3 linked regions of the Lonchura striata genome follow. The protein of the gene in region 1 interacts with the protein of each later gene in a biochemical or structural test. Links are inferred from orthologs where the notes say so. Each region holds a gene or a part of one and is shown on either strand. Other genes may lie near its edges. The genes, in order: PRMT5, RIOK1 and COPRS.

Evidence for each region.
Region 2: the proteins of PRMT5 (region 1) and RIOK1 are reported together in a solved structure, tested with the Homo sapiens proteins (2 studies listed by BioGRID, with this or other methods). The link is inferred for Lonchura striata from reciprocal best matches to the Homo sapiens genes PRMT5 and RIOK1.
Region 3: the proteins of PRMT5 (region 1) and COPRS form a complex in vitro, tested with the Homo sapiens proteins (3 studies listed by BioGRID, with this or other methods). The link is inferred for Lonchura striata from reciprocal best matches to the Homo sapiens genes PRMT5 and COPRS.

The regions. Positions count from the first base shown.
Region 1 is NC_134641.1:823,430-833,131, forward strand, and holds the start of PRMT5 (protein arginine N-methyltransferase 5), read left to right. Parts: upstream 1-5,763; 5' UTR 5,764-5,768; coding exon 5,769-5,875; intron 5,876-9,702. UniProt on the Homo sapiens protein: Arginine methyltransferase that can both catalyze the formation of omega-N monomethylarginine (MMA) and symmetrical dimethylarginine (sDMA), with a preference for the formation of MMA.
Region 2 is NC_134603.1:93,194,493-93,204,132, forward strand, and holds the start of RIOK1 (serine/threonine-protein kinase RIO1), read right to left. Parts: upstream 4,709-9,640; 5' UTR 4,621-4,708; coding exon 4,550-4,620; intron 3,711-4,549; coding exon 3,506-3,710; intron 2,001-3,505; coding exon 1,910-2,000; intron 932-1,909; coding exon 862-931; intron 275-861; coding exon 232-274; intron 1-231. UniProt on the Homo sapiens protein: Involved in the final steps of cytoplasmic maturation of the 40S ribosomal subunit. Involved in processing of 18S-E pre-rRNA to the mature 18S rRNA. Required for the recycling of NOB1 and PNO1 from the late 40S precursor.
Region 3 is NC_134621.1:8,029,576-8,039,928, reverse strand, and holds COPRS (coordinator of PRMT5 and differentiation stimulator), read left to right. Parts: upstream 1-6,433; coding exon 6,434-6,518; intron 6,519-7,008; coding exon 7,009-7,260; intron 7,261-9,277; coding exon 9,278-9,447; downstream 9,448-10,353. Other genes in the region: UTP6 (U3 small nucleolar RNA-associated protein 6 homolog), read left to right, coding at 92-171, 862-939, 1,083-1,262, 2,041-2,121, 2,840-2,949, 3,032-3,098, 3,381-3,453, 4,025-4,182. UniProt on the Homo sapiens protein: Histone-binding protein required for histone H4 methyltransferase activity of PRMT5.

The sequences.
Region 1 (9,702 bases):
CGCCGCCTCCTGGCGCTGCTGTCCCGCCTGCGCCAGCAGGGGGCGCTGCAGGCGGCGCTGGACGAGGGGCGGGGCCGCTTCCTGCTGGCCCGGGGCGGGGCCGTGCTGCTCAAGAGCAGGTAGGGACACGCCCCCCGCCCTCATTTGCATCTCATTAGCATGCGCGCGGCCGTGGGGCGGCCGGCCGAACACAGCCCGGTTCGGCCCGGTCCGGCCCAGTTCATCCCAGTTCATCCCAGTCCATCCCAGTTCATCCCAGTAACCCCAGATCCATTCCCAGTTCATCCCAGTTCATCCCAGTTCATCCCAGTAACCCCAGATCCATTCCCAGTTCATCCCAGTTCATCCCAGACCCATTCCCAGTTCATCCCAGTTCATCCCAGTAACCCCAAACCCATTCCCAGTTCATCCCAGTTCATCCCAGTTCATCCCAGTGACTCCAGACCCCGTTCCCAGTTCATCCCAGTTCATCCCAGTTCATCCCAGTGACCCCAACTCCATTCCCAGTTCATCCCAGTAACCCCACAGCCCAGTCCCAGTTCATCCCAGTTCATCCCAGTTCATCCCAGTGACTCCAGATCCATTCCCAGTCCATCCCAGTCCCTCCCAGTCCATCCCAGTCCATCCCAGTAACCCCAGATCCATTCCCAGTTCATGCCAGTGACTCGAAACCCATTCCCAGTTCATCCCAGTAACCCCAGAGCCCATTCCCACTTCATCCCAGTCCATCCCAGTAACCCCAAACCCATTCCCAGTCCATCCCAGTCCCTCCCAGTCCATCCCAGTCCATCCCAGTAACCCCAGACCCCGTTCCCAGTCCATCCCAGTCCATCCCAGTCCATCCCAGTAACCCCAGACCTCATTCCCAGTTCATCCCAGTTCATCCCACTCCATCCCAGTGACCCCAAATCCATTCCCAGTTCATCCCAGTGACCCCAAATCCCCTCCCAGTTCATCCCAGTCCATCCCAGTTCATCCCAGTTCATCCCAGTTCATCCCAGTTCATCCCAGTAACCCCAGATCCATTCCCAGTTCATCCCAGTAACCCCAGACCCATTCCCAGTTCATCCCAGTGACTCCAAACCCATTCCCAGTTCATCCCAGTGACCCCAAATCCCCTCCCAGTCCATCCCAGTTCATCCCAGTTTGTCCCAGTCCCTCCCAGTAACCCCAAATCCCCTCCCAGTTCATCCCAGTTCATCCCAGTTCATCCCAGTCCATCCCAGTAACCCCAGACCTCATTCCTAGTCCATCCCAGTTCATCCCAGTTTGTCCCAGTCCATCCCAGTAACTCCAAATCCCCTCCCAGTCTGTCCCAGTAACCCCAGACCCATTCCCAGTTCATCCCAGTAACCCCAAACCCATTCCCAGTCCATCCCAGTCCCTCCCAGTCCATCCCAGTCCATCCCAGTAACCCCAGACCTCGTTCCCAGTTCCTCCCAGTTCATCCCAGTCCATCCCAGTGACTCCAAACCCATTCCCAGTTCATCCCAGTGACCCCAAATCGCCTCCCAGTTCATCCCAGTCCATCCCAGTAACCCTAAATCCCCTCCCAGTTCATCCCAGTCCATCCCAGTAACCCCAAACCTGTTCCCAGTTCATCCCAGTTCATCCCAGTGACCCCAAATCCATTCCCAGTTCATCCCAGTGACCCCAAATCCCCTCCCAGTTCATCCCAGTTCGTCCCAGTCCATCCCAGTAACCCCAAATCCCCCCCAGCCCCACCCCCTCATTACTCTCATGAATATTCATCAGGCTGGAGGAGCTGCAAATCCTATTGGACACTTACCCTGCCCCCACCATCGAGGCCCACCGGCGAATCAGGTACGAGACCACGCCCCCTCATTAGCATAATGCGAGCTCCACCCACATTGCCACGGCCACGCCCCTAATTAGCATAGCAATGTCATTGGCTCATTGCCATAGCCACACCCCCTCATTAGCATAATGTAGGCACCACCCTCTATACTGTAGCCATGCCTCCTCATTTGCATAAAACACTGCCCCTCATTAGCATAACCCTCTCATTAGTACCACCCTCATTAGCATACTCGTTGCCATTAGCATAACAATTACAATGACCACACCCACTAATTAGCATATCGAAGTCACCACACCTCATTAGCATAAAACAGCCGAATCCCTGCGCTTCATTACCGCAATGGTGCCTCATTAGCATAATTCTGCCACCATTATGACAGCACCTCATTAGCATAACCCCGCCCTCATCACCATTACAGTATCTCATTAGCATACCTCATTGACTCATTATCATGACACCACCTCGTTAGCATAAACACACCCACATTTCCATAGCCCTAAACCTCATTACCATAATTTCATCCTCATTACCATAACCCCTCCCTCATTACATACCTACACCAAATTAGCATAACCTCACTCATTACCATAATTTCATCCTCATTACCATAACCCCTCCCTCATTACATACCTACACCAAATTAGCATAACCTCACTCATTACCCTAATTCCATCCTCATTACCATAACCTCCTTATTACATGCCTACACCAAATTAACATAACTTCACTGCTCATTAACATAAACCAAGCCTCATTACATACCCACACCAAATTACCATAAGGTCACTTCTCATTACCATAATTCTACTCTCATTACCATAACCCTGCCCTCATTACATCCCCACAACAAATCACCGTCACCACCCACCTCATTAGCATAACCCCACCTCATTAGCATAACCCCGCCCCATTATATCCCCACATCAAATCCCTTCTCACCCCCACCACATTACCATAATCCCGCCCTCATTACCATATCCCCTCCCCTCATTAGCATAACCCAACCTCATTACCATAACCCCTCCCTCATTACATCCCCACACCAAGCCCCCATCACCCCCGCCCCTCATTACCATATCCCCTCCCCTCATTACCATATCCCCACCCCTCATTACCATAACCCCTCCCTCATTACACCCCCACACCAAATCACCATCACCACCCACCTCATTAGCATAACCCCACCTCATTAGCATAACCCCGCCCCATTATATCCCCACATCAAATCCCTTCTCACCCCCACCACATTACCATAATCCCGCCCTCATTAGCATAACCCCACCTCATTACCATAACCCCTCCCATTACACCCCCACACCAACCACCATCCCCGCCCCTCATTACCATATCCCCCCCCTCATTAGCATAACCCCACCCTCATTAGCATAACCCCTCCCATTACATCCCCACTCCAAATCACCATCACCACCCACCTCATCACCATATCCCCGCCCCTCATTAGCATAACCCCGCCCCTTTTCCCCGGCAGGGCGGGGCTGTCGGAGGCGCGCGGCGCCGCGCAGGCCGAGGCGGCCATCTTGGGGGCGGAGCTTGGGGCGCTGCGGGCGCTGGGCCCGGGGTTCCGGGCGCTGGCGCTGGAGCTGGGCCGGATCCGGCGGCACTCGGAGCAGAGGGGCTGGGCCCTGCGCCAGCTCCGCCCCCCCGTGACGTCACCGCCGGCTCATTAGCATGCCGCCGGACACGCCCACCCGCCGCCCTGCCTGCCGTGTGTGGGCGGGGCGGGGATGATTGACAGCTGGGGAAAGGGGATGATTGACAGCTGGGGGTGGGGAAGGGGATGATTGACAGCTGGGACAGGGGATGATTGACAGGTGGGGTGGGGGATGATTGACAGCTGGGGAAAGGGGATGATTGACAGCTGGGGTGGGGATGATTGACAGCTGGGGTGGGGATGATTGACAGCTGGGGAAAGGGGATGATTGACAGCTGGGGAAAGGGGATGATTGACAGCTGGGGAAAGGGGATGATTGACAGCTGGGGAAAGGGATGATTGACAGCTGGGGGTGGGGAAGGGGATGATTGACAGCTGGGGAAAGGGATGATTGACAGCTGGGGTGGGGGATGATTGACAGCTGGGGAAAGAGGATGATTGACAGCTGGGGAAAGGGGATGATTGACAGCTGGGGAAAGGGGATGATTGACAGCTGAGGTGGGGGATGATTGACAGCTGGGGTGGGGGATGATTGACAGCTGGGGAAGGGGATGATTGACAGCTGGGACAGGGGATGATTGACAGGTGGGGTGGGGATGATTGACAGCTGGGGAAAGGGATGATTGACAGCTGGGGAAAGCGGATGATTGACAGCTGGGGCAAGGGATGATTGACAGGTGGGGCGGGGGGATGATTGACAGGTGGGGCAAGGGATGATTGACAGCTGGGGAAGGGGATGATTGACAGGTGGGGCAAGGGATGATTGACAGCTGGGGAAGGGGATGATTGACAGGTGGGGCAAGGGATGATTGACAGCTGGGTTGGGGCAGAGGATGATTGACAGCTGGGGGCGGGGCTTGGCACTGAGGGCGGGAAATGGTGGGAAAAATCCAATGGGAATTTCAATAAATGTCCCAAAAAATCTCAATTTCTGACCAAAATCTGCGGGAATTTAAATAAATCTCAAAAAAATACCGAGTTCTGACCAAAATCTGTGGGAATTTAAAAAAATCTCAAAAAAATACCGAGTTCTGACCAAAATCTGTGGGAATTTTTATAAATGTCCCCAAAAAAAATCCCAAATTCTGCCCAAAATCTGCAGGAATTCAATAAATGTCCTGAAAAATCCTAAAAAATCCCAAATTCTGACCAAATCTGTGGGAATTTCAATAAATCTCCGAAGAAATGCAAAATTCTCCAGAAAATCCACAGGAATTTCGATAAATGTCCCAAAAATCCCAAATTCTCCCCAAAATCTGACAGGAAATTCATAGAACTCCCAAAAAATCCCGAATTCTGACCAAATCTGTCGGGAATTTCAAAAAATCTCCAAAAAATACTGAATTCTGAGCAAAATCTGCGGGAATTTAAATAAATGTCCCAAAAAATTCCTAAAAATTCCGAATTCTGACCAAAATCCCCCTGGAATTGAACAGAATTCCCAAACAATCCCAAATTCTCCCCAAAATCTGACCGGAATGTCAAGAAATCTCCCAAAAAATCCCAAATTATGCCCAAAATCAGTAAATCTCCCAAAAAATTCTAAAAAATCTTAAATTCTGCCCAAAAATCTGCTGGGAATTTTGATAAATTCCCAAAACATTCCAAATTCTAACCTAAATCTGCGGGAATTTCAATAAATGTCCCCAAAAAATGCTGAATTCTGACCAAAATGCGCCTGGAATTGAACGGAATTCCCAAAAAAATCCCAGATTCTGCTCAAAATCTGACAGGAATTTCACAGAATTCCCAAAAAAATCCCCAAAAATCCCAAAATCCTCCTGGGAAATGATTGCCAGCGGGGCGGGGCGGGGCCCAGAGGATGATTGACAGCTCTTTCCGCTCGCCGATTGGCTGGCGGGCTGTGATTGGCAGACAGGCCACGCCCATCACCCACAACTCTGATTGACAACTCGCAGAGCGCTCTGATTGGTCAGTGCCTCTTGTGGGCGTCCCCCTCTGTGTCCGCGTTGATTGACAACCGAGCCCGCGTTCCTATTGGCTGACAGCCCCCCATGGGCGGGGTAACCCGCCACTCCCTTGACTGACAGCCGCCTCCGCGCTCTCATTGGCTGCGTTTTTCCCGCCTCCGCTGTGATTGACCGCTCTCCGCGCTCTCCCATTGGCTCCCGGCGATTTTTGTGGGCGGGCACAACGCTGCGCTGTGATTGACAACTGCTCCTCGTGTTCCTATTGGCTGCGCGGGAGGCGGGCTCGACGCTGATTGGCCGCCGCCTGAGGGGACGGGGGGTGAGCGGGAGCAGCGGCGCAGCCATGGCGGCGGGGCCGGGCGCGGCGGGCGCCGCTCGCGTCTCCTCAGGCCGGGACCTGAGCTGCGTGCCGGAGGTGGCGGGAGCGCTGGGGGCCGTGGCCAGGCAGGGGTGAGAGCGGAACCCCAAATCCCAAAAAAAACCCCCAAAAATTCCAACGCGGGACCCCAAAAACCGAACCCCGAGCGCGCCTCGTGTTCCCAAAGGGGCCGGAGGGCGCGGGAGGTGCCCGGGTCCCCTCAGGGAACCCCAAAATACCCCAAAATTCCCTCAGGGAGCCCCGAAATTCCCTCAGGGAGCCCCAAAATACCCAAAAATTCCCTCAGGGAGCCCCGAAATCTCCAAAAATTCCCTCAGGGAACCCCAAAATTCCCTCAGGGAGCCCGAAATCCCCAAAAATTCCCTCAGGGAGCCCCAAAATCCCCAAAAATTCCCCCTAGGAGCCCCAAAATCCCCAAAAATTCCCTCAGGGAACCCCAAAATACTCCAAAATTCCCTCAGGGAGCCCCAAAATCCCCAAAAATTCCCCCTAGGAGCCCCAAAATCCCCAAAAATTCCCTCAGGGAACCCCAAAATACTCCAAAATTCCCTCAGGGAGCCCCAAAATCCCCAAAAATTCCCTCAGGGAACCCCAAAATACTCCAAAATTCCCTCAGGGAACCCCAAAATACCCAAAAATTTCCTCAGGGAGCCCGAAATCCCCAAAAATTCCCTCTAGGAGCCCCAAAATCCCCAAAAATTCCCTCAGGGAACCCTGAAATCCCCAAAAATTCCCTCTAGGAACCCCAAAATCCCCAAAATTCCCTCAGGGAACCCCGAAATCCCCAAAAATTCCCTCAGGGAGCCCCAAAATCCCCAAAAATTCCCCCTAGGAGCCCCAAAATCCCCAAAAATTCCCTCAGGGAACCCCAAAATCCCCAAAAATTCCCTCAGGGAGCCCCAAAATCCCCAAAAATTCCCTCAGGGAACCCCAAAATCCCCAAAAATTCCCTCAGGGAACCCCAAAATCCCCAAAAATTCCCTCAGGGATCCCCAAAATCCCCAAAAATTCCCTCAGGGAACCCCAAAATCCCCAAAAATTCCCTCAGGGAGCCCCAAAATCCCCAAAAATTCCCTCAGGGAACCCCAAAATACTCCGAAATTCCCTCAGGGAACCCCGAAATCCCCAAAAATTCCCTCTAGGAGCCCCGAAATCCCCAAAAATTCCCTCAGGGAACCCCAAAATCCCCAAAAATTCCCTCAGGGAGCTCCAAAATCCCCAAAAATTCCCTCAGGGAGCCCCAAAATTCCCTCAGGGAACCCCAAAATCCCCAAAAATTCCCTCAGGGAGCCCCAAAATCCCCAAAAATTCCGTCAGGGAGCCCCGAAATCCCCAAAAATTCCCTCAGGGAGCCCCAAAATCCCCAAAATTCCCTCAGGGAACCCCAAAATACCCAAAAATTCCCTCTAGGAGCCCCAAAATACCCCTAAATTCCCTCAGGGAACCCCAAAATCCCCAAAAATTCCCTCAGGGAACCCTGAAATCCCCAAAAATTCCCTCAGGAATCCCCAAAATTCTCCAAATTTGCCCCAAATTCCCCTCAGAAATTCCCAAAGTTCTCCAAATTTGCCCCAAATTCCCTCAGGGATCCCCGAAATTCCCCAAATTTGCCCCAAATTCTCCTCAGAGACCCCAAATTTCTATCAAGGATCCCCAAATTCCCTCAGGGATCCCCCAAATTTGCCCCAGATTCCCCAAAATCGCCCAAATTTACCCAAAAATCCCCTCAGGAATCTTAAAATCCCATCAGGAATCCCCAAAATTCCCCAAATTTGCCCCAGATTCCCTCAAGAATCCCCAAATTTGCTCCAAATTCCCTCAGAAATCCCCAAAATTCCCTGAGATCCCTCAGGGATCCCCAAATCTCCTCAGGGATCCCCAAAATTTCCCAAATTTGCCCCAAAATCCTTTCAGGGATCCTGAAATCCCCAAAAATTCCCTCAGGGAGCCCCAAAATCCCCAAAAATTCCCTCAGGGAGCCCCAAAATACCCAAAAATCCCCTCAAGAAACCCCAAAATACCCCAAAATTCCCTCAGGGAGCCCCAAAATCCCCCAAAATTCCCTCTAGGAGCCCCGAAATTCCCAAAAATTCCCTCAGGGAACCCTGAAATCCCCAAAAATTCCCTCAGGGAGCCCCAAAATCCCCAAAAATTCCCTCAGGGAACCCCAAAATCCCCAAAAATTCCCTCAGGGAGCCCCAAAATCCCCAAAAATTCCCTCAGGAATCCCCAAAATTCTCCAAATTTGCCCCAAATTCCCCTCAGAAATTCCCAAAGTTCTCCAAATTTGCCCCAAATTCCATCAGGAACCCCCAAATTCCCTCAGGGACCCCCAAAATTCCCCAAATTTGCCCCAAATTCCCCAAAATTCCCCAAATTTGCCCCAAATTCCCTCAGGGATCCCCAAAATTCCCCAAGTTTGCCCCAAATTGCCCAAAATTGCTCAAATTTGCCCCAAAATCCTCCTCACGGACCCCCAAAATCCCCCAAATTTGCCCCAAATTCCCCAAAATTCCCCAAATTTGCCCCAAATTCCCCAAAATTCCCCAAATTTGCCCCAAATTCCCCAAAATTCCCCAAATTTGCCCCAAATTCCCCAAAATTCCCCAAATTTGCCCCAAATTCCCCCAAAATCTCCGGGATCCCCAAATCCCCTCAGGGATCCCCAAAGCAAAAAACAAATGTGCCCAGTTCAAACCAGTTCAAACCAGTAACTCCCAGTTCAAACCAGTAACTCCCAGTTCAAACCAGTAACTCCCAGTCCATCCCAGTCCATCCCACTTTGATCCCAGTCCCTCCCAGTTTGATCCCAGTCCCTCCCAGTTTGCCCAGTTTGGATTCCCAGTCCGTCCCAGTTTGCCCAGTTGGGCTCCCAGTTCATCCCAGTCCCTCCCAGTTTGCCCAGTCCATCCCAGTTTGATCTCAATCCCTCCCAGTTTGCCCAGTTCGGGTTCCCAGTCCCTCCCAGTCCCTCCCAGTCTCTCCCAGTCCCTCCCAGTCCCTCCCAGTCCCTCCCAGTCCCTCCCAATTCCCTCCCAGTTCCCTCCCAGTCCCTCCCAGTATAAACCAGTTCCCTCCCAGTTCCCTCCCAGTCTCTCCCAGTTCCCTCCCAGTTCCCTCCCAGTTCCCTCCCAGTCTCTCCCAGTTCCCTCCCAGTTCCCTCCCAGTTCCCTCCCAGTCTCTCCCAGTCCCTCCCAGTCCCTCCCAGTCTCTCCCAGTCCCTCCCAATTCCCTCCCAGTTCCCTCCCAGTCCCTCCCAGTCTCTCCCAGTCCCTCCCAGTTCCCTCCCAGTTCCCTCCCAGTCCCTCCCAGTCCCTCCCAGTTCCCTCCCAGTTCCCTCCCAGTTTGATCCCAGTCCATCCCAGTTCCCTCCCAGTCCCTCCCAGTTTGATCCCAGTCCATCCCAGTCACCCCAAACCCCAAACCAGTTCCCTCCCAGTTCCCTCCCAGTCTCTCCCAGTCCCTCCCAGTCCCTCCCAGTCCCTCCCAGTCCCTCCCAATTCCCTCCCAGTTCCCTCCCAGTTCCCTCCCAGTCTCTCCCAGTCCCTCCCAGTCCCCTCCCAGTCCCTCCCAGTCCCTCCCAGTTCCCTCCCAGTTCCCTCCCAGTCCCTCCCAGTCTCTCCCAGTCCCTCCCAGTCTCTCCCAGTCCCTCCCAGTTCCCTCCCAGTTCCCTCCCAGTCTCTCCCAGTCCCTCCCAGTTCCCTCCCAGTTCCCTCCCAGTCTCTCCCAGTCCCTCCCAGTTCCCTCCCAGTCTCTCCCAGTCCCTCCCAGTTCCCTCCCAGTCCCTCCCAATTCCTCCCAGTTTGTCCCAGTTCCCTCCCAGTCCCTCCCAGTCCATCCCAGTTTGATCCCAGTCCCTCCCAGTCCCTCCCAGTCCCTCCCAGTCCCTCCCAGTTTG
Region 2 (9,640 bases), on another chromosome or scaffold:
TATGAGCAAATCACAAAGTTAAACACAAAAATAAGCTCTTAAATGTTTATGGAACCAAAGCTAACCTTCGAATTTGAAATAAAGAAAGAAACAAGAGATCTCTTCAACATAATAACAAGTGAAAACGAATTCCAAAACTCTGTTCCTGCTTTAACTGTTTTCTTCATTGATTCAAAAATTCTACACTACTTGCTCTGGTCAAAAGGGAATTTTGATAAACAAAGGACTTACCTGTTCTACTGTTGCTCTGTCTGACTTGTCTTTGACTCGGTACCTAGCAGAAATGAAAATAAAATGTTACAATCCCACATATGGGCTCGGTACTTTGACAGGGCAAATTGTGACATTCTGTGTCAAAGACAGGATGACATCCTTAAGAAGTAGGGCTTTCATTCATACAAAATCAAAGGTTTCTCCTGCAGACAGAGGGATGGAAAGGAAAAAAATCAACAAATCACCACTGTTAACATCAGAGCCCTTCATTATAGATTATCCTCCTGCTTTTTCTGAATGCCTCCAATACCTTTTTATCTCAGCGGCTTAAGGACTCCTGTTTAGAAAAAAAGAGTATCAAAGGGTCTTTTCTAGGTGAATGACACCCATCACTTCTGTCTTACTATACTACACCAACATAATCAGATGTGCTACCAGCAACAAAAGAATCAAAACTTTGGGACGATTCCAACAGCTTTGGGATTATTCCATTTGGAAACCAAAAAATGGAAGACCAAAGGGCAAACTGCATGTAGACTTCTTCTAAACTTCATTTTTCTTAACAAACTTTCCTTAAACAAGGAAATACGCACTATACTTCTGAGTTTAAAGTATTTAAGTGAAAATAGAAGCATAAGTAATACTCACATGTCTGCTTCCTTCTGTCTAGACTTTTCTGTGACTCTGTTTATAACAGAGTCATCAAAATTTAGCTTATCTGAAAAACACATAAGTGATGAATAAAAAACCAGAATTCCAAAACTCAAAGAAGTTTCCTACACACCAGGGTTAACCTAGAACTTCACTCTGTTTACATTTCAGGTTAGGACTATAAGGTAACAACACAGATGAGTGAGACAATTCCAGAGACTTGGAAATGTGATACCAATAATGCCTTTTGGATAACCATTAAATTTGTCTGTTCTTCTCTTATAACAGTTAAATACTATTTTTCTTAACACAATAAGCAATAGCCTCTCAGACTCTCTTCAACAATGCATTTAAATGGTGTTTGATTAAATGCTAAACGTATAAAAGCTGCTGTACTGGGCTACAAATACCAGCAGCCTTCACCCTAGCACCACTTTCTTATAAAGGAAAACCCTACCTCTGATCTCAACCCTGTCAGAAGGTGCCAATCACACCTACCCTAGTCCTGACAGGCTATACTGAGCAGCCATCTCCATCTCAGGGCAAAAATCAAACCACACCAGCTGGGACAGCAGCCTCTTCACTTAGCACAGGAACTCTGCCCCTGAGAGAGAACTGCTGCATCATGTACCCCCCACCCCCAATACTACAGGGGACTGCATTTGTCTAGAAAATGCAGCTGTGGTAGCAGCTGTGGGAATCACCAATGCCACAACAGAGAGTTGAAACCTTCCGTCCACCCAAACAGCTTGTTCCTACAGAGAATCTAGGGAAGAAAGACTTCATGTTGCCTGGAGAAATTAAGGGGAAAGAAAAAGCCCCAACAAAACAGCCATGTAGTTCTGAAGGTGGAGGGGGGGGGTATGACACCCAGTTCTTGGAGACTAAAGGCAACTTCAAGTACTCAAAAGCCATTTTTAATCTCTCCGGCAATGGCTAACTCACCCATTCCAGTGAGTTCTGGCTTAACATGAGTGAAATTAGTCTGAGAATGCCACAGAGTGGCAACTGTTTAAATAATGGACAATAGTGCAATTATACTCACCTAAATTGATTTTGTGTTCAAATTTTCTTAAAACCTTGCCTGCAGGGGTTGACAGTTTTGCTGAAGAGCAATTAAGTGTCTGCCTATTTGCCTGAAATAAAGGATTTGTTAACATAAGTCATGTTCTGTACACAGCCCTTTTTAATTCAAACCATTTCATTGGAAAAGTCATCTCAAATGCCTATGCCTAAAGCTGTAAGATGAAAAGCACATGAGATATAAGGAAACAGATATGGATTAACACCAGATTTTATTTAAATCAAGAAAAGAAAATACAAGTTACACATCAGTTAAAATTCTAAAAGTCCTCCACCAGAGTAATCTTTTAGTCTAGGAAGCTACAAGTCTCTCACAGAGCACTTTTTCTGTCTGTAAAAGGAAGAGAATAGAAAATCTAAAGAAATAAAGTAAGGAAAAAATGCAGAGGTAATGAACTGAGAAAACTTTCCATGATTTTGTCTTTTCTTACATGTGGTCCTCCCCAAACACAACTAATACCTGAACATGATTTCACCATCATTGAACAGCATAAACCTCTAAATAAAGGCAATATACCACCCAGGACAAGCACTGCCAGACATGCTATGCTGTGATCAGCACCACTCTGATTCATCTCTACTGTTCTACTAAGTTGGTAGCAATAAGAAAAATGAGGTTTTGAACCTGTAGTGTCCAAGTTGATGTGAGAACTAGCATCCTTCTTTACATTCATGAGTGCTTTTTATTCTGCACAACGCCAGTGTCACCCTGCTCTTTCAAAAATTTTAAAGTTCTTTTAGAAGTTTTCTATGCCTTCTGATGTTTACATATTTCTACTGGAGTTTCTCATGCACTGTCATGTAAATAATGATTGTTTTGCATTCTTTGTGGGAAGAGAGAATTGACAGACTGTTGGTTTGACTAGTGTGGTTGGAGAGGTGGCAATTTCTTCCTCCAATCCACTGTCACTTTTGGAATTCTATATATTGCAAAGTCAGAAATAAAACTTACTTCCTCTTACTCTTTTGATCTTAGAACTGTGTATAAGTTATTTTGTGTTGTAGTGCAACATGCCAGAGTTTCTATGCCAACACCATACATGCTAAATGAATTCACTCCAAGCACCCCCAGCTCCATTTCGCATGCTTGTAGTTTTCTTCGCCTTCTTCACTATTAAGTCAAAAATAGGACTAGATTCACCCTGCATGTGATTAGCAGATAGTCTAAAAATAAATAGGCTGAGGAAGATGCTCAGAAACACAGAGGACAAATACCAAAAAGTTAGGAACATTGGTAGAGATCAGGGTGAGCAAAGAAAGAGAAGTTGAGGAAGGTAGGGAAGAGAAGGAAACTGCAGTAGAGACAGACACAGAGAATCCAGCAACAGGGTTTGAGACAAGAAAATCAAACTGAGCTCCGGCTACAATGTACATACACATACAGCACCTCAGAGGAACAGATGCAAAGGAAGGGGATTCTCTCAAGGAAAAAATTCTGAAAAAACACTGAGCTGTTTGCATCTGTACTCAGCATAACACTAACAAAAAACAAAGCCTCCGGGCTGGCCCCATTACCTCTTGGGCACCCTCAAAGCCCACAGAATGACCTCCAGCATACCTGTGGATTGCATCCACCAGCAGCATTGTGGCGCTTTGTGAGTCTTCCCACCTCATCATCCCAGTCCCAGTCTTCATCATCCTCTTCAGCATCACTGTTATCATCACCATCTCCTTCTTCAGCATTAACTTCTTCACACGTGCATAACTGGCAGCTCTCAGGGACCTCACCCTCTTTACATGATTCTGTGTCTTCCACAGAGTCACTTAAAAGAAACACAGATGTCTCTATAACTAAAAATTATTGTTACAGTCACCAAAAATTCAATACACTTATCCCCATAAATGACTAAATTTTCAGTTGGATCTTAATTCACTGAGTCCAGTTCTGAGGCCTTCTATTCAGGAAGGATATTGAGGTGCTGGATCAGGTCTAGGAAAGGGAAATTAAGCTGGTGAAGGTTCTGGAGCACAAGTCCTACGAGGAGCAACTGAGGGAGCTGAGGGTGTTTAGCCTGGAGAAGAGGAGGCTCAGGGGGGACCTGATCGCTCCCTAAAGCTGCCTGCAAGGAGGCTGTGGCCAGGTGCGGTCGGTCTCTTCTCCCAGGCAACAAGTGACAGGAAAGGAGGACACGGCCCAAAGTTGCACCAGGAGAATTTGGAAGAATTTCTCCACAGCAAGGGTGGTTAGACATTGGAATGGATTGCCCAGGGAGCTGGTGGAGTCACCGTCCCTGCAGATGTTTAAGGAAAGACTGGACTTGTTACTCAGTGCCACGGTGGTGCTGGCTCACAGCTTGGCCTCGATGATCTCTGAGGTCTTTTCCAACCTAATTGATGCTGCGATTCTGTAACGTCAATAACGTGTCACGGCTTTCTGCCAGGACAAGTGTCCGAAAGCAGCACGGGAAATGGAAAAGGGAAGCCGAGAGACACACGCAGCCTTCCCTCTCACCTCCTCCGGTAACGCGGCAGCACCACCCGCTCTCCCTTCCCCGCCGCCCAGGGCGAAGTCACATCCCGGGCAAATCCCGGGGCTGCTCCGCGCGTTCGCCTGGCCCGCAGCCCCAGCGCCCGCAGCCCCGGCCCCTCGGCGCGCCCTCACCTGTCCGAGCAGTCCGCATCGTCGAACTGCCCGGGCACGACCTGGCTCATCACCAGCGCTCGGTAATCCATGGCGGGAGCCGGGAGCCGGGAGCCGGGAGGATCCGGCAGCCGGGATGCCCGCGGGACGCAGGCGCCGGCCCGGCCGCTACGGCGCCGCCAGAGGGACAAAAGCAGCGCGGGCGAGCGCGGCCGGCACGGACCCGCCCCAGCGCCGCTTCCGCTCCCGTTCCCATTCCCGTTCCCTTTCCCATTCCCTTTCCCGATCCCGACCCCGTTCTCATTCCCGTCCGCTTGCCGGGCTCCTGCGCAGGGCGGGCCCGGAGCCGGCACACGGAGGGACTTTTACAAGGGCTTGCAGTGGGGAATGGCTTCACCCTGAAAGAGAGTAGGGTTAGATTAAATGGCGGTAAAAAGTTCTTCCATGTGAGGGTGGTGCGGCTCTGGAACAGGTGCCCAGAGGATCTGTGCATGCTCCATCCCTGGAAGTGTTCCAGGCCGGACCGGGCTCGGAGCGAGCTGGGCTAGTGGAGGTGTCCCTGTCCACGGCAGGGGGATGGAACTAAATGAACTTTAATGTCCCTTCCGACCCAAACCATTCTGGGATTCTCTGAATCCCTGGCAGCTGCCGATACGTCAACAATGAGCTGTGGCACATCTCTATAATATTCAATAATATAACCTTAAAAACAGTGCGTTTTCAAGCCCTCAATTCTTGACTGGGAATGACCATTCCTGCCACAGATTCATGGTTGTTTTCCCTAAAACACAAGTGATGATCTGTGTCCTATGCAGTAGATACTGAGAAGTTTTATTTGGTATACTCTAAAATATTAAATTCCAATCTTTATTAAAATAAAGCTCTAATTGAAGCCAAAGGAATTCCAAATTTGCAGGCCTGGCTAGAAGCATCTTAGCTCCTAACACTCCTTGCATTGAATAACATTATATTCTGTTTACATACCGACATAATGTAGGATTAGGAAAATAAAAGTGAGTGCTGGGCTTTTGCTATCTGGTACATGACTACATTTTAAAATGCAGTCTCTTTTTTGTAGATGTTTTTGCATTATCCAAGTGGTATGTATAAAAGCTATGGAAAAACTGTGATTGTGCAGAAAACATGCATGCTTGTGTAGAGACACCTTTAAAAGAGATTTAATACAATAGGTGTCATTTGCATCTGCAACACTACCATAAAATCAGTTCTTTGAGTCTCTGTGCTCATTTTCCCTAATGCACAGCCACCTACAACAGAAATTGGATTAAGATCACCTGTTTACTGATCTTTCTTTTAGAACCAGGTGTTGAAGGACTCTTAATCCATGTGGGTTAATCCATGTGCATAGATACTGTTCTACAGGATTATTTCACTCTAATAAATTATTCAGTGCTCTTAAGTAAATATGTCCATTTATTGTAATGACAAGAGACTGTTGGAAACATAATACTGCCAGAGGATTTCCACACTCATTTTTATTCCTTCAGGCTTCTGCAAAGCTTTTTTGACAGCCTTAGAGTGCAGCACACAATTTTTGTCCCAGGTTTTAAGAGCTCCTTTGGAAGCAGGCACAAACTGTTCTACAAGCAATTCATCTTCAACAGGGTAAAGGGAAACAGTCCACTAGCAATGGTGATACTTTCAGAAGGAGAATGATAAAAGTGTCAGAGATCTACCAGTTATCACCCCTAATCCATGGGAGGACAGACCTCTATCAGACCATGCATTTCCCTTGGACCACTGTAGCTCCATGTCACATGAGACTCCAAAAGAAATACTACCTCTCTTACTCTTCTTGTGGCTACATTGTTATATTTCCTGAAGACTGAGTGTAAAAAAATGTTTGTTCACACTCAAAGATGCACTAATTCTGTACTTAACATATTATGTAGGACAGGTATATATTCTGTTCACACTGAAGCTGGGAAACTGCTGAGACCATACTCAGAATCACTGGGAGAACTGCAGTGTTGCTCCTTCCTGGAAGAAGACTGACTTGAGAGGAGCATCAAGAGCTTCCTTTTCATATTTGCAGGATGAAATGTACAACTCAGTGGCAAGAAAAGATGCTGCTTGCCAGCTCTGTGAAGCAACCTGTGCTTCTGAGCCCATCTTGGAAAATCTGACAGCAGTATGTTCTTGTTGGTGAGGCTAAACGAGAGGGATTTCAAGTGCCATGTGCTAGGATGAGCAAGTTTTAGTGACATTTATCTAACACACTCCCCTCCCCTGCCAAAGTATGCCACACTGTACTTGGTGGTTCACAGTGCTGTCTGACAGAACTTTAGCTGGTGCAAAACCTGTTTAAATCAACAGACTTTGTTAGATTTTGAGGTCAGCTCTTACTGCCATGGCATGAGTGAAGCACATGAACAATATGGACTGTACAGAGCATGGAGAAACAAGAGAAGGGGGAACAAAGCATGGTCAAGGGACTGTTAGGTGATTTATACAAAAACCTATCTGAAAATGGCTATGTCCTGAGCAGTTATTACAGCAACGCAACAAGTGACCAGGATCTTCTCTGTCTCATGCAGTATGATTGATATTCCAATATTCTAGGATATATTTTCACTTTATACAAGACATTGGTTTAAATGGAATAGGCACACATATATATAAAAGAGAAATTAGCTAATATGATATTTGAATACTGCTGTGAACATTAATGTAGTTCCATCATATTTTTAATAGAGGACTCGTGATGAAAAAGGATACACACTGAGGAGGCCAAGTGATGCATTCATTAAGTTCCAAGCAAAATACCTATTTTCCTCAGCTGTATCTTCTCCATGAATATTCTCTGAAAACACTGTGGAAAACTTAATTCCTCTCAGAAAACTACAGAGTTCCAAAGTCATAGAAACACTTGTTGTAGAACCAACATACCTTTCTGCATAGTCGATTGGAAGCAGTCTTTGGGTGTGGATACATTTTTTTCCCAGAGAAGGAACCCCTAGGCAAGGAAGAACAACCACATCAAAGGAGAATGTTGGGCTGGCAAAAAGAAAACAATACTAAAAGAGAATGCAGGAGCCTGGGAGATGTTTCATTGCCAGAATAATTATCAATTAAGCCCGTTGTAGGTCCTCATGAAGAGCCATTTGCAGAAATGTGGAGTCAGTGCTGGACTGTATTATTAATGTAGCCTCCATAACAGACATGTCTCATTTTCTCCCTCAACCCTCTGTCTCTCTATTCAAGACATTCTCAGGTTTTGATACTGAGAAAAAGCTTCCTGGGGAAGATAATTTGAACTCAGCTAGCAATACTTTCTTTCCAGAAGAAGCCATGGTAAGATTCCATGGAGGCTTGAATGATGAAAATACCCTTCTCTGATAAAATTAGTAGTAGTAGTTTTTTTGCACTTATATTGCAAAATTTTATATGTAAGTGCCAGGCCTCACAGATGTATAACATAAAAGAGAAGTGCTAAGAATACCAAATGCAGGTGCTGGAGTTGTTCCTAGAATTAACTAAGTAATGAATTTAGGGAATAATGCATTTGCATTGCAGTTCCTATTCTGATTACACATTATTTAAAATTTTAATTAATATTTAAATTATGTTTAATTACAGTTATTATAAATTTAAAACTAAATTTAATTTAAAATTAAATTAAAATTCAAAATTAAAGAAGTTACAAATTACATGCTTTTGGTAGGCAGCCACTGGACAACAAACATAGCCTCCAAACAATTGGAGAGAGAATAACATGAGTATATAATCTTATTCTTTCCATGAGAACATAGTGCACATACCAGGCCTGACACAGTCAAACAGAGAAGTGAAAATAGGTATAAAGAGCAGTGGAATGCACTACAACAAAAGAGGAAGTACTCTCAGATGGTTTCCACCACTCTAAAATGCTTTTTATTTTTTTATAGTTTTCTTTTTTTTTTTTTCAGTTACAGGTGGTGTAATAAAAAAAAAAGTAAACCAAATCATTTAAATGTGGTGCATCAAACTTGGCTCCTGTTCATTGCTAAATTTATTATATATCTAGGAAATTCAGTAAAAAAAAGTATAGTCTTCTTTTGACAGACTAACTCAGTAGCATTTCAAACATGTTTTTTGCCTTCTTTCTTTGTCTTCAGTGAGTAAAATCTCCCTTTAATCAGTCTTCTCAAAATTCAGTAAAGAGACCAATTCATAGAGCATGGAACACTTTTTTATTTCTTTTTTTTTTAATGTTAACATTTATTTACTTGATTTTCTAAAATCAAAGGGTTTAGCTAACGGCTGAATTTTGATTTCTTGGTGAGTTTTGTTCCCTTTTTTAGAATTCTTACTTTAAAATCAGGGATTACTGTACGTTAGGCCAAAATCTGAAATACACTTTTAGACTGGTCACTCCACTGGAACTTGATATAAGTGCAAGGACTGTAGACACTGTATAAGGGTGAACTTCTTAATTTTCATAATTTTATAATTTTCCCCACATTGACTTATCTTCACAGATGGAAATTTCCACTGAAGCTGGTGAAAAAATAGTTTGCAGAAACTGGACAGAGGGTGTCACCTCTTCTTTTGCAATAGCAGAATAACACAACTCCACTACTGCAGTAACAGGATGGGTGAAGTTTACTCACATTTGTCCTCATTTGCTTTTCCACCTTCTCTGAATAGAATGCTGTCAACCCATGTGGGCTCTCCTTCTTCTAATTAGTTGGTGATACAAAGTGTCACTCCCCCCAGGAAATGCTGAAAGTTGGTAAGGACTCTTTGCTCCAGCATTTTGGGACATTACTTGATGCCAAGGAAGAATGAAAACAGCGAGATAAATGAAGGGATAAAGTCGACCCCATTAAAGGGATTCTCTCCACCCACAGAACAGGGAGCTCCTTACAGCTCCTCCTTATACACAGCCCAGTCTTATCGTCCTTTTCCCTCTTTATGTACAGCATGATTTGGGTGGAGAGATGAGTGATAGTCATATATATAGTAGGATGTTCTTCATTAGCTTGTTAGCACATGCAGGGACGCCTGCTTTAATCTTTCAACAACAGTTAATTCAACAGAAGTTACTTTTTGACCATTGTGTCCTTCAAAGTTTCAGTGATACAACTTTGTTTCGCTCCTCAGAGCAGG
Region 3 (10,353 bases), on another chromosome or scaffold:
CATTTTGTATCTTTGTATTTCTTAAAGACAAAATATTTGTGCTTATTCTTGTGATTCTGTGAAGTGTGATATTATGCCTTTGCTTCTACAGAGGACATGTGGAAATGCTACATCACTTTTTGCTTAGAGAGATACAACAGAAAAACCAACAGTGAAGAATTAAAGCAAAAGGTAAAATTTATTAGGAATCAATCTAACAAATCATCCCTATTCAGACAAGAAGCAAATGTATTTTGATGTTTTATCAAAAATACTTGCCTGTGGCCATCATTAAAAATAACTTTATCTCCTTCTGGGGAGATCACTTTTACTGCCTAGGCTACAGGTGGCCTGCCTGGACGTGATTAACCTGGACTTGATTAACCAGCCTTGTCAGTAAAGTACAGTGACCTCTTTGGATAAAAGCTAAGATTGCAGACTTGTTAATCATGGAATCATGGAATCATTTGGGTTGAAGGGGATCCTAAAAATTCAGGTCCTTCAAACCTCTGTGTGAATTAAAATTACTCTTGCAAATAAATCTGAGCAAAGTTTGGTGCTTGCACATGGGCAATTTAATTATGCATCTCCTTTTAGGTATGAGCCAGTGAATTAATTAATTATTCTGTGCAACTTGGTTCCCTAGTATTACACTAAAAGAAAAATGCAGTGTTGTTCTTTGCTCCTTAAGGAAGATAAGTAAATGCTCAGATTTCCACTTTATTTTGGAATGTTTGCAGGTACCTAGGGCATTAGACACATAATGTGTAATTAGATATTCATTGACATGATACACAATCCAGTGGACTTCTTGGAATACTGTCATCTGGTATATATAGGAATAATGCTTGGGTTTTTTTTATTCTTCTCTATTGGTTCTAGAGGCTGGAGAGGACACTGAGTGTGTTCAGCAAAGCCCATGAGTCCAATTTGCTGTCAGAAGCTCTCTACAAGCAGTGGGTAAGAACTGACAGAACAAATAGAAGCTGAGGTTTTCCTGCATTATTCGTGTGCCTGCCTTTGCCATTTTGAGTAGACACAAAGATGAATGATACTGGTTCAAAGCTCTGCTTTTTAACAAAGCTGTTTCTGCTGGGTTTTAGCTTCAGCTCTTACTGGACTCCAGCCTCTCTGAGAAGGCTGTGGAGGTGGCAGAAGCTGCAACCAGGCAATTCAGCCAGTCCGTGGAAACGTGGCAGATGAGGCTGCGCGTGCTGATCCAGCTGAAGAGTGATGATGTGACCCAGTGCTTTGAAGAAGCCATTAAACATGTGAAATCTAAGGTCTGTGCTGGTCTTGGGCCAGAAACCCCTGATGATTGGTTGTTTTGTGGGGTTTTTCTGCCTTTTTCTTCATTTTTTTCTTTGTTGTTGTTGTTTTGGCTTTTTTGTGTGGGTTTGTTTTTTTTGTTGTTGTTGATTTCTGTTTTTGTTTATTGTTGGTTTTGTTTTGTTTACAAGGCATTTTAAGTTCCTAACCATTTTTAAGGTCAGAAATAAGAACTTGGATGTTTCACATGCAAATTGTATTCCTGAGTATTAGGGAATTGTCAATTCACTTAAAATTCACATGTCTAAAGTCTGAATGCTTACAGTTGATATTTTGATCTCCTAGCAGTGAGCTGGTGTTTGTGTCTTAATGGAAAAATGTGTTTCCCTTTCTTCACTGTTGATACACCTGTGTGGTATTTCAAGCCTTGAATTAGTTGTGTACTCTCCTGCTCTGTTCCATTTTAAACACTGAACACAATGAGCGAGGAAATAAGAAGGTTTCTTCCCTTTTTTGTTCTTGGAAGTCACCTCTGTGTACTGCAGTGCTCAGAGGTGCAGAACTTGGTTCTTGTCCCTGGCAACACAGCTGTCCAGCTAAGGATGATTTATCCTGTAAGTGAGGAAGGAAATGAGAAGTGATTTCAGTGTGCAGTTCAAAGTTGTCTTTCCAAGAGCTGTGTCCAAAGGCTGTTTTTTATGGCAGGTAGTACAGAACCTGATGGCTGTGTTGCTGTCTGTTTCTGTAAGTCAGTCACTGTATTTCTGCTATGATTGTTTGCTGACCTTGTAGGGCACTTTGCCATTGTGGACCCTCTGGGTGGAGTGGAGTGAGAGCACAAACAGCAAGGAAGACACTGAAGCTCTCTACCAGGTACTTAGCTAATCGAAATCTACTTTTATGTCTTTGTCAATAACGTGAAACAATGTGTGTGGATGGAACATGCAACAAATGCTTTCTCCTGAAGTTTGTTCATGTGTGTATTGATGTCAAAGAATTTAAAGCAAAACTACGTGCATTAAAAAAACCAGTTGGTCATAGACTTACAGGCACAAGTGTCATTCCCATGTCCTAAGGAATATGGATGTTTGTAAGCACAGCCAATGATGGACTCCTACTTTGTGGTCTAGAATATTTGCTCTGTTTTCAGATACCTATCTGAGCACAGAAAAGAGAATTTTCCAGTTTTTGTGAAAACATCAGTCTTGTTACAGAAAAGTCAAGATCAGAATGAGGACTTTAATCTCTCTATGGATTTCGTCAGTAGTGTAGGACAAAACATTTTCTCTTTGCCTGGCTTATTGGGTTGTGTTTCTTCCTCCCAGTTGCCACATAAAACATGTACTTCAGGTGGAAGCTTGAATTCAGTTGTTTGTAGAGTACTGTGAAACCCTTTGCAATAAGGGGTTTAAGGAAATGTCAGTTCCAGCCATATAGAATACTGGAGGAGAAATGTGTTTTAGATTTAGGAGATCTCCTTTGTGTCAGATGCCTAACTAGGGAGAAGCACTAATTGAGCTATTTAATTGTAGGTTATGTGATAGGTTTACTTTTTGTTTATTTTGTTTTTTTTTTCCTTTTAAACTTGCAGAGATCCTTACGTGCCACAACACCTGCTGAATCTGTGACTATGAAAGAAAGGTACCTTGACTGGACTTACAGAAATAGTGGTTATAAGAAAGTTAAAAGACTCTTTACCAGGTAAAAAAAATACCTTCAAACCTGATTATTCTAGGGTATATGTTAGAAGTCCTTAAATCTAAAGTAACTTATTTTATTTCAGCCTGTGTGAAGATCGTCCATTTTCACTTGACTTCTTCAGGAAGATGATCCAAATAGAAAAGGAGCAAGTAAGTTCTTGACTATCCAATTAATGCTTTGTATTTGTAAAGTACAGTTCTAACCTGGGATTTAAATAGGAAGCAGAGTGGTGGTGTTAGTCTGTGATCAGTTCATGTTTGTCCTCTGCACTTGATTCACAGGATGTGATACAAACCCAAGTTCCATAGTAACTAATCTTCAGCAGTGTGTGCATGTAATTGCCATTACTCTCTTTCTTTGTCACAGTCGAATCATGCTGCAGATTCACTTCTGTACAAAATAAGTGGCCTTTTAATACCTTCCTTTTTTAGGAATCCTGCAGAATGCTTCATCTGAGAGAATATTATGAACGTGCCTTGAGGGAGTTTGGCTCAACAAATACTGGTGAGGGAGATTCTGGTTTTTATTATTTATTCATTCATTCACTGCTGCCTCTTTTATTCCCACCCATTTTAAAATGTACCTGTTTGTTCTGCTCTTGTGCTTGCTGTCATGCAGATTGGAGCTTATTTCTTCTGTGCCATTAAGAGTAGGACACTGCAGGGACCCTCTCCCCTGTCATCCCAGGATCACTGACACTGGGATGGCTTCAGCACAATTAGGAGCAAATCACATTCAGACACTGGCTGGCATAAGAGATGTGTATCATTTTAAATTTGGATTTATGAACAGTATGGAGCTATATATTTATAATCAAGATTTCTGCAGTATTAATTTGAAGAAGGTACGCAGCACAATTATTGTTGCATTATTTCTTCAGACATTACTGTTCCAGTTGGAATATAGAACCCAGGATTTTTGCTCCTCAAGGTGCCAGAGATTTTAGTCTTACAAAGTAAACTGTACTGCATTAATATTAGAGACACTTAGAAAAAGAGTTTCTAGTGAGTCTTGATATGCTTGTTAAGTAATATCTGGTCAAAATCTAAACAGAACTTTCATTTTCCTTTTAAAGACCTCTGGCTGGATTATATCAAGGAGGAGCTAAGTCATCCCCAAGGCAAACCAGAAAACTGTGGGAGCATTCACTGGCGAGCTATGAAGATGTTGCAGGGAGATCTGGTGGAAGATTTTGTTTCTAAATACACTTTATTACAAACTGGACATTTATGAAAAACTATACATAGTTATAACATGACTGCATTTTTTAACTTCTTTGTACAAAGGTAAATACGTTCCTGGACTTTATTAAAGTTTACCTTTACATTTTATGTGACAAAAAAGACTCATCTTCTCTGTTGCAGTAATTTCTTTCTAGTGTTGATTCTGCCAGGGGCAGGTTCAAGTGCACAGTCAGAGGAAGCAAACCCCTGAGGGTGTTTTCATCAAGACTTCTAAAGAGCAAACTTTTGATCCTGCTTAAACATTCAGATAGTTGTAGTGCATCAGTTTTTACACTTTGGAAAGCTAATATTACAGCACCCAAATGCAAAAAACCCAAACCAAACCCCATGGAAACTACACCTGTGGGTCATATTTTTATTGTAGGAAGCTGAATCATAAAAAGTGGAACACTTTTCATTAGGTAATCAGAAATCAGTAAAATTACAATGTTTATTGCTTCTTAGCGTAGAACTAATCTGTAATCCTCATGACAAAAAGAAACAGCCTCTGCAGCTCCCTTGCATTGGTGTTTGCATCTTGAGAGTGATGAAGGGTAGAGGGGAGCTGAGATCTGTTAGCCATGTCCTTGAGGTGAGAGGGGAAAGCTCTGATCTACACTTCCAATTTTCTGTCCACCATGCCTAAAAAACGTGTAATGTTTTTTAAAAGGGTGCTGTCCTTGGCTGTTTACAGAGCCACAAACCTGAGAAATCACCATAAATGATCAACTGAGAAATGTAGGGAAAGTACAAAAATATTAAACAAGTGTTCCTTTGTGCAATTTCCCAGTGACTGAAGGGTGACATAATTATAAGACAGGGAAATATTTATTGATTTTACACTCAAGTAGAAATTGCAGCTCCTCTCAAGCAATGAATCCCAGTAACTTAACTAGCTGGAAATAAAGTTTGGAGCAGCAGTTTGGTAAGATTCTTCTGTTACCAGATCTGAAGTACATTCTGCTTTTGTGTTTCCCACACTTTTAGCCAGGCCATCTCCTATATCCCTGCTAGTTCGCTTCCACCTCATTGTCTGACATTGAGATTTCCTTATTGAGAATCTCTTACACCCTCCCTGCCCCTTATGCTCTTACTCCCTCTCTGAACCACTTCTTGCTTCGTCAGTTGCTCAACTAAAAGTTTTTAAGTGCAAAGTCTGGAGTTTTAAAGTCCAACAAAGCTGGTAACTCCATCATTTCAGAAAGTGGGCCCTTTTCTGTCAGCTGTTCTGGTTCCTCACAGAACTTTGCCATTCTCCCCAGGGCAACATGCCCTGCAAGCACACGTGCTTGAAACCTGCCACAGCTGTCCAGCCAAGGTGCTTCCCGTCTCTTCGTGTTCTGAGCATGCTGCTACCACGAGGCCGGAAGGAAATTGTTATTTTTCGACAAGGGGGAAAGTCCGCCCAGCCATGAGAGACATCGATACTTTATTTACAACTTCACAAGTAAAAAAGTGCTTTCTCAGAGCTCTTACGCCTGTATTTGCCTCGGTTGGATGGCGGTGTTGGGCCATGGTTGCACTAGACGATCTCGGAGGACTTTCCGTCGGAATCGTGTCTGTGATTCCGAAGCTGGGCGCGGTGGGCTCCGCAGCCGGGGCGCTGCGGGCGGCGTTGCGGGCACCGAGGCCGGGCCGGGAGCGGCCGCGCCGTGCCTGCAGCCTCCGCCCGGTGCCGCAGCGATCCCGCCCGCCGGCGCTGCCGATGGAGCCCCGGGGCCGGGCCGCGGGCCCCGCTCCCAAGGTTCGGGGGTCCCGGGGAGAGCGAGGGGGCGGCGGGGCCGCCGTGAGGGCTCGTCCGGGGTCCGCGCCCTGCCCGCACCGCCTCCTTGTCGCGCTGGGAGTGAGGGCAGCTCGCTGTGCCCTTCCCGCACAGGCGCTGAGGGTCTCCTGCTCGCCACGCATCGCGTCCAGCCCCTCAGGGCTGTCGGAGGGTCCCGCAGGGCGGCTGGCTCAGTGTTGGCGCTTCCTCCACTCCTCGTGTGGCGATTACCCCTGTGCTGCCCGCGGTGCTGCCCTCCCGGAGGGGCACGGTGTGGGCCGGGGCTGTGCGTGAGGAGACGGGCTGTTCTGAGGGTGAGCGATGGCAGCAGCAGAATTAGCTGTAGCTCTGCAGGCTCACCTTCTGAAGTGAAAGCCAGTTTGTTGTTAAACCTGTGATTCATCAAGGGAACAAATGGAGACGCTCGGGAGCACACGGGGTAGCAGTTTGGTGAGCAATCAGAGCTGCTACTGCATTCTTTAAAAATGTCTCGTAGGTGATGGCTGCCGCCTCTGGGGCTGCAAACTCTGAGGGGGAACAGCTTCCTAATAAGACAGAAACCATGATCGGGAAGCCCAGAAAAGGTAGGACAAAACAAAGGAGGTCGTGAATATTGAAACTTGTGCACTACTTGAGAAATCTACCGAAAACCTTTTGGTGATTCTTGGGAAATGCTCTTTACTTACTGCACTAAATTATTTCCATGTAGCTATTTGGTACATGAGTAATTAATCAATATGACTTTTTTTTAAAAAAACAGAACTTTTTTTAAAATACCTACAGGTGAATGTGATGAAACAAGACTGTTGTGTCCTTTGCCCTAGTTTACAGAGTTATTTTCCAACAAGAGTCTGTGGAAAATCCTGATTTGTGCTGGTGTTGTGGTGCAAGGCTATGTCCACTCTTTCCAATCATCTGAAATGTGAAGCACCTCTGTAGTGATATTACATATCTGGGAAACTGCATGTATTACAATAAGAGTAGTAGTCACAAAGTGCATTTTTGTACCTCTCTGAACTCTTAATTGTTGTTTAATTTCTGAATGTATCTGTTGGTGCTTTCTACTGGTTTTAGAATGTTTTCTGCAGAATATTCCAAATGTTCCTGATGGCAAGTCTGAAGAAAGTGAATCTGCTTCTACCTCCCCCAATGAAGATGATGTCAGTGGCTCTACTAATGAGGGCTGGTACAATATATATGCTGACCTGGATGTGTGGGATAGTGAAGTTTCTAATGTGCCTGAGTCTTCAGGGCAGCAGGATGCATCTGAGCATGAGGTGGAGGACTGGGATAAAGAATTGGAGGAGTCTACATGTGGTCCTTACGGTGAGTACACGTTTACTTGTGCTTCATTTGAGTTTTGGATAGTTGGAGGCAGGTGCTTTGCAGGAGAATGTGTTTAAGTAACTCCAAGTTTTATTTTGGGAAGCAATTTCTCGTTATGTTGACCTCCTGGATGTGTAATGAACAATTTTGTTGTCAAATACAGGATTTAAAGGTGGTGTTGTGCATTTCACATGGAACTCTTGCTTGAGCAATTGAATTCCTAGGGAGTGGCATGGTAAGGAGGTGAATTCCATGCTTGTGCTGAGTTTTTCTGGTGAAGCAAGTTTTCAGTGGTGTATCTTTGTTATTTTGAAGCAGAAGAGAAAGGTACATGGCATGCAGGAACTAACTTTTTTGTGTAAAAGTTATTCAAGAAAATTCAAGATTGTTAATTATAATGTCTTTCTAGAGCATGGAGGTGTTTGGAACAGTGCTCAGTCTCTGAGTATGGCTTATGTTTACTGTAGTTTTTTTTTTTATTATTTTTTGGTGGTTTTTTTGGTTTGTTTGTTTGTTTGACTTTGGTTTTGTTGAAGCTTGATCCTCCTAAGTGGTTGTGCACATGACCAGTCCCATGGACAAAAGTGGCAACAAATAAGAGTGTCGCTCAAACATTTAGAGTTGAATTATTCCTCCAGTTTGTAACTTGTTTTTATGGTGACTCACATATGAAAAAGTCTCCATTGGCCAGGCTGGTTCTTAGCACAGAACGGGTGGGATGGGGTTTAGCCAGCAGTGGCTGATAACCTGCTGTGTCTTTCTTGATGCAGAATAGCACCATTTCCATTTTTTCTTCTCATTAATGTGTATCTTTTTGTAATTAAGATAATTTTCTTTGCTTAGGAAATATGTTCATTTTAATCTCATAATTAGAATAAACTTTTGTATTTTAATTCCATTTATTTCCATTTAAATTCCATCTATTTCCATTACCATTGTTTGGTAATGGAAGAAAGTGAGAAAGATTTTCATGCTTTCTGTGAAACCACTCTTGATTTTAAAATGGAAATATAGTATTGGTTTTGCACAGTGGGTAATTTGAGGAAAAGATTGTTCCCTTTTTGGAGGTTTTCCCTCTCTTCCATTCGGAGCTTTCATTTTAATCACTTATATGGTCAAATTTATGGAATGTTTTGAATTTTGTACTGGAACTGTTCCTCTTTTTCCCCCTTTATTTAACTTGCTCATCCCACCTGTAGCTCTTTAAATCCTCACAAACTAAGGCAGCTGTGTTTATTGGATTCGGGTCCTTCTGAAGGATACTAAATACGAGCGAGCATCTGAGTTGTTAACTGCTACAAATAGGAAAATGTACTTGGTTGGTCACTTCATGGCTTTTTAAGTGTCTTAAGCTCTTGCTGTGATGACTTGTTTGGCAGTGCTGCTGGAAGGCTGACATGTGGGATATTGTGTTGGGTCCTCCATGCTCTGGGCTTTTTCTTTGCTCAGTGTCTGCTGGCAAATCTTTATGCTTCTGTTAAAATACTTCGACCTATTTTTTGCTAGATTGGTTAAATACAGGCCCATTAGGCTTAATTCTAGCCTAGTGGAAATACTGTTCTAAGACAGCTTTTACAGGACCCCACCCTCCCATTCTGTCCAGCAACCCAGCTCTTAGAGGGTTTGGAGGACTCCTCATTGGGATGGTGTTATGAAAGCAGCAGGAAGGGGGAAGGCAAATAAAATTGATAGTTTCATGAGTCTTTTATTCCCAGGGAAGATGGGAAAAAATTGTATGTCTTGTAAGAGCTGGTGCCAGACATTCTAAGTCCCAGGAATATCAGTGAGCTTTCTGGAAAACTGTTTTGTGTGGCATGAACCTTCCTTAAAATGAAGACATTGCCAAAGTCAGTTTTCTGTTTGGCTTTTTTAAAGGTCTAATTCATAAGTGCTGTCAGATCAAATAAAAATAGTGAACTGGAAGATGCCATAGACCTCCATAATAACCTGCTACACTATTTCCACTACTTTCCTGAGTATCTCCCATGGTTTAAACCTTTTATTTTATCTTCTTTAGATGCTGACGATCTCTCCTGTGGAAGCTTTGAGGAAAATAATCTTTTCGGCTCATATGTATGGAAGGAGGATTGGTTTTACAACCCAGGCTGTCACCACGCACCGTGCTTTGTTTTTCCACCGCGAGTTAGAGCAGTTGAGAAGGGCCAGTTTGATGATGCTGATGAATGAGGCTGAGTCTGGTCAGAAATAAGTTTGGCTTCTGTGCTGGATTATGTTCTTCAGTGACTGAGCTGTGCCAAGTCCCTTGACTTTTTTGCAGAGTTTGGCTGAGGCCAGAAATGCAGCACTATCTCCAGAGTTTTGCTTAGGCTGTTTCTGAGCTGTTCATAAACTGCCCACCCTTGCTCTGGAGACAAGAATGCAGGTGCTGGGTGTAAGGAGTCAGTGCATTTCTGGAGGTTTTGTTTATATATGTAGATCTATGTTGCTAATTAATTGCTTGAGGAGAAGTATTTAATTTCTAAACTTCAGCTTGTTTGCCAGGCTTCTGTCAGTTTTGACATGCTGATCCCTGTGTTTTGTGCAACTTTTAGTTTTCTTTCCTTTTAATTTGATGCTGTCAGACTGGTTTAGATAGCTGTAAAAACTCTCCCTCCTTCAAGCTTATCTGTTGTATTTCCATATGGTTCTAAAGTCCATTTGTGATTCTTATACTGGTGTTTAACAAAATCGCCTGTGGCGAATACGGAACAAGTTGTTTTGTGTTTATGTATTTCATCAGAAAGGAATTACAAATACATGATACATGTTTTGCACATACATGTGCCGGTATATAGGGGGGCATACTCCATCCACTAGGAATGCTGGGTGCTTAAGGCTGCCTCCCAACAAAGATTTCTCCACATCAGATCTTCTTGTGTATGGGCACATTCCCCTAGAGTCCCACAGTTGTCTTTATTATATTCTCATGCAACATCAGATGTGCAATGACAAAGAAAATATCTCTGCCTATATATATATATATTTCAGTATATCAACTCAGTGTCCTGCAGACAGTAGTGAATTAAGCTTCCTGATGTTGTTCTGCTGTTTGTGTTGTGGCAAATGAGGAGATGCGACCACAAAATACCTCCA